Linked DNA regions of Macaca fascicularis. The main gene of each other region encodes a partner of the protein of the gene in region 2 in a complex. Links are inferred from orthologs where the notes say so. Each region holds a gene or a part of one and is shown on either strand. Other genes may lie near its edges.

Region 1 (3,749 bases), on a different chromosome or scaffold from region 2:
GGCTAAAATGTTGGCTATGCAATATACACTACACACCTCTCCTTTTAGATAATCCATAAAGTGTCTGAGTAAAAACAGACTTTCACTTTTGTTTCTTCTAAGTGTGAAGTTCACTTCCTAGTTACCAGTTTTAAGTGCGCTTCCTGGTTACCAGCTTGATGGATTTAAATCTGTCAACTTATTGAGGTAGATGGTTTATTTATATCCATATAAATATTTTTAAATAGTTCTAATATGAGTAATAAAGCAATCGTGTATTAATATGGAAAGCAAACACATTTAAGTGTTTCTTTTGTAAAACAATCTAAGTATTATGGAAGTATAAAAGCTTCTCTAAAAAAAAATCCCCAATAACAATGAAATGATCTAAAACACACCCATACTAAAAATAACATCATAATGATATTTTGAATTAACTACTCCCTTTGTGTGGGGAGGGGATTAATTAAAGTAGGAAATTGGACTTGACAGCCAAGATCATTTTCGTTAACTTGATTCTTGATTCTACAATTTTATGCATAACCTCTGAACCATGCAACAGAGCCTGCAGTTACTTAATGCAGTTCAGTCAAAATCAAATGAAAAAAAAAAAAAAAAATCCCAAACTTACAAAGTTCTTCCCATTGTTCAAACTTAGGAGATGTGAAAAATTCGTATTTCTCACTTTGAAACAGACTTTAATATTCAACACTGAAGACAATTATAAACAAATAGTACCATACATATTAAACAGTGCTTAGTATTCACATGACCATATGGTCTTTCGTAAGCCTTAAGTCTTTAAAAACTAAATTTGAAGGTATTCAAAATAGAATAGGGAGGATTAGGAAGTAAACTCTTTTAAACTCTCATTATTAAGTCTTGAATTATTTCACCGTAAATAAAGTGCAGTGTGCAATATCCTTCTAACTTTACCAGTAATATCAACTAACATACGAGTCTCAAAAACTTTCCCAACGTGCCTAAAATAACAATGCACTATCCTTGCTTTCCAAACTTCTTGAGTATCTTCGACTACTTTAAAGCAGTATCATAAAATTCTAAAAATAATCTCAAGGCAAAAATTTAGCAGGCTGTATGTAGACAGCCCATTTTAGAACAGGTCTTATTGCAAAGTCAAGCACAGGTAGAATATCGCTACACCAAAACTACACCAGGGCGGGGCATTCATTACTCACCCAGATTAACCAAACACAACTCTGGTGGTTGATCACAGTAAACCCTAATTGTCCCCGTAATTCCAACACGACTAAGGCACGGTTGACCCCTTTTGCCCAAAATGCTTTTCACGCAAATGAAAAATTTAAAAAAAAAATTAAATTATGGCCAACTACTCTTCAGAATATGGTGCAAGCCATGATAGTGCACTTAAGATTCTGAAAGCAAAGTCTAAAATAGCAGAATGATCTCTCACTATTCACTTTAAAGATACAAAGCTTCACAGTTTTTTTTAAATGGTTTTCTTTAGTGAGTGACCATTTGAATGTGTGACTGATGCAAGAGTAAAGAGTGAACGAAGGAACAAGGTCAAACTTAGGGGACAAAAGATTCCTGGAATAACATGGCCAGAAAGGTTTCCTCTCTTAGAGACAGTTACCATATTGAAAAAAAAAAAAAAAGCAGAAAAGAAGAAGAAGAAAAAAGGGAAACCTTAAAAGGAAAAGAAACCAAGCAAATCACCTACTTCTAGAGTCCACCTGGTCAACACGACTGCCCCGCAAGGCAGGTAATTCGATTTTGCTGGAGACCGTTTTGCAAAACAGCAGGCCTGTAACACTACTACCTTCGAAAGACAAAATGGGTTCAGAAAGGATGACAACTGGCTCTTCTTTCTTATTTAAGGGGAGAGAATAAAGTTTCATTAAGAAGCCACACAGAGCACTGTAGGAATGTGAGGGTCGCTCTCAATACCTGGCACCGTCTGCTACGGGAAAACAATCGGCAGAAGGAAGTGGACTGAAGCCCGCAAACTACACTCTGCTTCCCACACGCAGCTGGGCACTGGGCGCGACGCCCCCGAGGCGATGGGCAGGGGCGGGGGGTGACGGTGGAGGAAGCCGGGGACGGCGGCGGCGGCGAGGCCGGGGCGCCCGGCCGCGGCGGGGGAGGACAGCCCGTCGGAAGGAGGAGTGGGGCCCGCCGGCTCGCGGGCTCGCCTCACCTTCTGCGCCGCGCTCTGCTGCAGCACGTTCTGCTCCACGGTCATGGCCCCCGCGGCGGCGGCGGCGGCGCCCGGCTCCTCGCGCCTCCGCCGGCCCTGGCTGCCGCGCTCCGCCGAGCTCCAGGGAGCGGCGCGGACGGCCGGGGAGGACAGCGCCCCCGCCAGCCAGGCGCGAAGGCGATGGCGGCCGGCGTGCGCGGGCACCGCGGGCAGGCGGCGAAGCGCCGACTGCGAGGGCCACGGCGGCCGCCCCACGTCTCCACGCGGCCCGCCTCAGCGCCGCTCGTCCGCGGCGGCCCGGGCCATGAGCGGGCGGAGGACGCCGGGGCGCGGGAGAGCGCGGGCCAGTCGGGCGGCGTCACGCGTTCGCGCGCTCCTTAGCTGGCGGCTCGCTGCTCGCGGGCCGCTTTAGGGAAGGGAGAGAGGGGACGGAGGGAGCGGCCGCCCGGAATGGCGCTGTCCTCCTCCCTCTGTGAGTCCTCCTCCCTCCCCTCCCCTCCCCTCCCCCACGCGCCGTCCCCGCCCCCGCCCAGCGGCTCCTCCCCCGCAGAGCCCCGCCCGCCGGCCGCCCTAACCCTACATTGTGACCCTCCGGGCGGCGGGGCGGGGCGGGGCCGCCATGGAGCCCCGCCCCTCCCGGCGCGGGCCGGCGTTCCCGGGTGGGGCGAGGGCGCGCCCGGCTGCCCGGCCAGGGAGCCGCCCCTGCGGCAGGTTGCGCGACGCTGGCGCTGGGCTTTGCGAAGCGCGGCTGGAGGCCGGAGGGCAGTGTTCCTGCCTGCGCCCAGGGTTTGTCGGATCCGTAGCTTGCCCAAAGCCTCCAAAGCAAACACTTCCCTGCATGCCCATAACGTCCCAAAACTACCTAGGGTCCCGAACTGCGGCCTCTTTCTGTGTCACGCGTTCTCTCCCCTCACCTTTCTAGGAATTTCACAAGCCTTGAACTTGCCTGAAGGGAAAAGTCAAATAAGCAAAGGATTGCCAGAAATCTTTATGCTGGGAAGTACTTTTCTCCTTAACTAATCATTACGTAAATGAATATAGACATTTTCCATCTACTTCATTCATTCGAATATGTGTCAGTCACTGCTAGGCTCTGGAAAAATAAAGTTTATTTTCCCAAGACTTAATATAAATGAAATAGGATATATGTAGCAAACAACCTTACAAAAATATCACTGCCTAGATGATACATAATTCTAATATCCCAGTTGCCAAATTAAGCAAACAATTAACTACCATGCATGGAATACTTGACTATATATGGAATTGCAAGGAAAACCTAACATTAAGAAAGCAATCTCTAGCCACAAAAATATCTCGAGTTCCAGGAGCTAATCTGGGAACGGAGGTGAGAGTGCAGCAGTGTGGGGAAAGAAGTTATCAATGCATATTGTCACAAATAGAATACACTTGAAAATCCTGGTATAATTTTTAATCCAATGACAAGGAAAGCAAGCTTGGTAAATGCTAATTGAAATAGTATGTGGTGTTATTTAATAATCACGGATAATAGTAGCTCTTAAGGCTTTGTAACAGTTATGTGCACTTTACATCCATCTTTGATCTGCAGCTCGAATGTCTTGAACCA
Region 2 (3,649 bases):
TTGTTATTAAGAGCATTAAAGATGAACTATAATGAAAAAATGTAGCTAAAAAAAAGAAAAAGCAGAAGAAAGTCTTAACAGTATAACTGATATAAAATAGAAAAAAGACCTGGTTTTTAAGTTAACTCCAAATTGACTATAAGCCTAGAAGGGAACCATAGTGGGCCAAAGGTGCGAGTGAAATATTGGAAAATTATGTCATATAAAGAATACTTGAAAAAACAGATGTATTCTAAAATAGGGGAAGATGTGTAGAGGTAGGTGGTTGAAAGGCTGACACCTCTGATAAGTTGACTAGGTCTTAAAAAGATATAAAGGGACACATTGTGTTGTAGTGGGCTGAATGGTGGCCCTCAAAATGATATGTCTATGTTCTAATCCCCAGAACCTATGAATGTCATCTTCTTTGGAAGAAGAGTATCTGCAGACAAAATTATGTTAAGGGTCTAGACATGAGGAGATTATACTGGTGGCCTCAAATTCAATGCAAATGTCCTTAGAAGAGATACAGAGGACAGGAAGGCAATGTGAAGATGGAAGCAGAGACTGGAGTAGCGTGGCCACAAGCCAAAGAAGCTGCCAACCATCAGAAGCAAGAAGAGGCATGGAATAGATTCTCCCCTACAGCCTCTGTAGGGAGTATAGTCCTGTAAAACTGAATACATATGTAGACTGGAGATTAGATCTCTGTGCAAAACAGGGTGAGCATAAGCCCAAAACAAATGAATTATACCTACCAGCAGTTTTTGGCACACTTTAAGTTACAAGCATTCTATTACACCTGTCCCAAATTGTAACAAGGTATCTTCCCTGGCTAGAGGACTAACATGGGTGTTATTATACAAGGGCGATCCCTACACCTGGGAGAATAACTAAATTTTCTCTAAACACCTTTTCCATTCTAAAATTTCATGTATATCAATAGTCCATTTAAATTCAGGACTTACCAGCATTCAATATTTAAAGTTGACCATAATGATGAAAGCATACAATATTACAACTCCTTATACTGTATGAAAACAGTAAAACAAACAGAATAATCCTAAATTCATAAATGCCCTAATGATGACTCCATCCTTAGACCCTCACAGACATTTAAGATGGATCCCAAAATAGGGTGGGTCTATTGGAATGTATGGCCAACTTTTGGTTCAAGATTATTTAAGATTCTAAGTGGACAAGAGAAACTTCATAAAGGGGCGATTCTTAAAAGGTGCACTTGTCTAAGTACTACTGTGCTTTCCAAATTAATGGGCAACTGCTTCAGGAGCCTAGTCACGTGAATAATGAAATGAGATGAATAAAGACTGACACTTTTCGGAAACAAAACAACCAAGGACAATTACGAAAACATTCTTTTGAGGTAGTTGCATGGTCAAAGCTTTGACATGTAATAAAATGCAAAGTGCTAGGCTGCTTATAAAGATAAAACAAAATAAAGACTCTCAATTGTTAGACAATTTTGGGGAGAAGTATAAAATACTGGGCTCCTCTGGCTTCTTATAGAAATGTGTTGTGGGTTTAAAAATAGCTCATAAGAAGCAAAAGAGAAAAGAGGTGGGTGGCAATTAATAATTCTTTTTTTTTTTTTTTTTTTGAGATAGGGTTTTACTTTGTCATCAAAGCTGAAATGCAGTGGCACAATCACAGCTCACTGCAGTTTCAAACTCCTGGGCTCATGTGATCTTCCTGCTTCAGCCTCCCAGCAGCCCAGTAAGTCACCATGCTCAGCTAACTTAAAAACATGTTTTCGGTTTTTTTTTGCAGAGATGGGGGTCTCGCTTTGTTGCCCAGGCTGGTCTCAAACTCCTGGGCTCAAGCAATCCTGCCTAAGCATTCCAAAGTGTTGGGATTAAGGTGTGAGCCACTGCATCCAGCCTAATTCTTAGTATTTAGTTTAAATGACTCAAATATATAAAAGAGTGTTTACCTGTTCTGTTTCAAAGATATCCCGAAGGTGTTCAAGGCCAAGGCTTTTTAGAAATTGGCTGATATTCATGTCAAGACCGGTAACTAAAACAGAAACATATTCAAGATTCTCAGAAAGAATTCTCTAAATATAAAGAAAATTTCAGTATCCATTTAAAGACATGACTCTGACAACCTTGGCTGTCAGATGATTTTACATGGCATAAAATAATACAGAATACACAGATTTAATTCAGACACTTTATTTCTCAAGTTGATTGAGAAATAAAAGCAGAGCGTTTTATCTTCATCAAATTAGTATTTGTATCAATTCTAATATGGTTAGAATATAGAATTATAACTTATTGTAATTTATAAAAATATAGAGAATACTAATTTTAAAATATTATAGTATAATATTTATACTATAGAATGCTACTTATATAGAGAAATCTAAAGCTTTTAATGAATTAAAAAATCTAAATGTATCAGCTATCATTTTAGTTTTCATTCCTGAAATGACCTCTCAGTTGTGTTCTGACATAATTTCAATATAAGTGGTTCAATAAGATGCTGGTTGTAAACAGATGCTCTAGAATATACAGAAGTAAGAACAATGGCAATGCCAAGAAATGTGGCAGTCTTCTATGAAGAAATATTTCTTATAAGATGTTGTGTGTATGAAAATTTACAGACAGGACGTCTCTAATGGAGGCGTTCAATAATTATCAATAGAAAAAAGTAATTCTGCTCCACTAACAAAAGGTATAAATAAATAAGCATTCACGGGGTCTACTCACCTTCTCCTTCCTTCCTTTCTGTTCCCGCGGCGCCATCCCCTGCGTTGGAGGCTCCTCCTACAGCCAACTCTGCTAAAGGGCCAGTGAGGTTGTCTATGCTGCTGGCAGCAGAGAGGCAGGAGGGGGTGGATGCTGGTGAGATCAGAGAGGCACTCACTACAGTAGCCTGAGGTTTAAAACAGGTAGGTAAGGCCTCTGGGGGCATGGCATCTATCAGCAAAGCTCTGATATCGTCAGCCTAAAAAAATGATTAAAAAAAAAAACGTGAAAAGACTATATATTGAAATGGTAAGTTTTTCACTAAGAACCAAATGCTTTGTGGATTTTTTCCTTAATGAATGCCTCATTATCTATCCCCTTCTGGTTTTTGATCATTCCTTCTCCTATCCACAGCTTAGAGTTTCAGTAGTTTCAGTAGACAGAATTGGAGAAACCATGTAATTTTTAAAAATATTTCTTCTTTCATTTAAAAAAAAGCACTTTCAGTGTTAACTGTCACCCTTCTTTAGAAAAATTTCCATATTTACTATATTTTGTTTATGTTTAAACAGCTATAATAATCTGGTTATTTACACTTAATAATGTCATGTAAAATTAGCATCTGGTGAAATTTCAAAGGGATGACACTCTTAGCTCATTTATTCATAAACTTTACAGTTTTTAAGTATTAGATGCAACTGCTTTTCGAGTATGCGGGAGATAGTCTCCAGAGACAGCCAGCCATCAATTCCTTCCTCCCGACATGCATGCCTCCCCTTGAATTTCTACCCACCTTGAATGTGCTTTGCCCTGTGAGTTGTCTTGCCCAATAGAATGCAGAAGTGATGTTCTGAGGCTTCTGAGCCAGGCTTTAAGTGGATTGGCAGTGTCTACTTTTACTCTCTTAGAAGCCATCTGTCATGCCGTACAGAAGTTTGGGCTAGACTACTGAGGGCTGAGAT

The links.
Region 1: the proteins of TNKS (region 2) and USP25 are in contact, whole or in part, in a crystal structure (PDB 5GP7), measured with the Homo sapiens proteins. The link is inferred for Macaca fascicularis from reciprocal best matches to the Homo sapiens genes TNKS and USP25. Residues at the interface, in NP_003738.2 of Homo sapiens: Arg836, Ser838, His842, Leu843, Gly846, Tyr847, Leu871, Asn876, Ser879, Tyr880, His882, Asp900, Trp902, Phe904, Glu909, Gln912, Lys913, Gln934, Glu935; in NP_037528.3 of Homo sapiens: Ser1046, Ser1048, Arg1049, Thr1050, Pro1051, Ala1052, Asp1053, Gly1054, Arg1055.

What each region holds. Positions count from the first base shown.
Region 1 is NC_088377.1:31,489,293-31,493,041, forward strand, and holds the start of USP25 (ubiquitin carboxyl-terminal hydrolase 25), read right to left. Parts: upstream 2,614-3,749; 5' UTR 2,207-2,613; coding exon 2,162-2,206; exon of another isoform or gene 1,912-2,161; intron 1,795-1,911; exon of another isoform or gene 1,685-1,794; intron 1-1,684. UniProt on the Homo sapiens protein: Deubiquitinating enzyme that hydrolyzes ubiquitin moieties conjugated to substrates and thus, functions in various biological processes including inflammation and immune response.
Region 2 is NC_088382.1:11,155,790-11,159,438, forward strand, and holds part of TNKS (poly [ADP-ribose] polymerase tankyrase-1), read right to left. Parts: intron 2,947-3,649; coding exon 2,709-2,946; intron 2,014-2,708; coding exon 1,931-2,013; intron 1-1,930.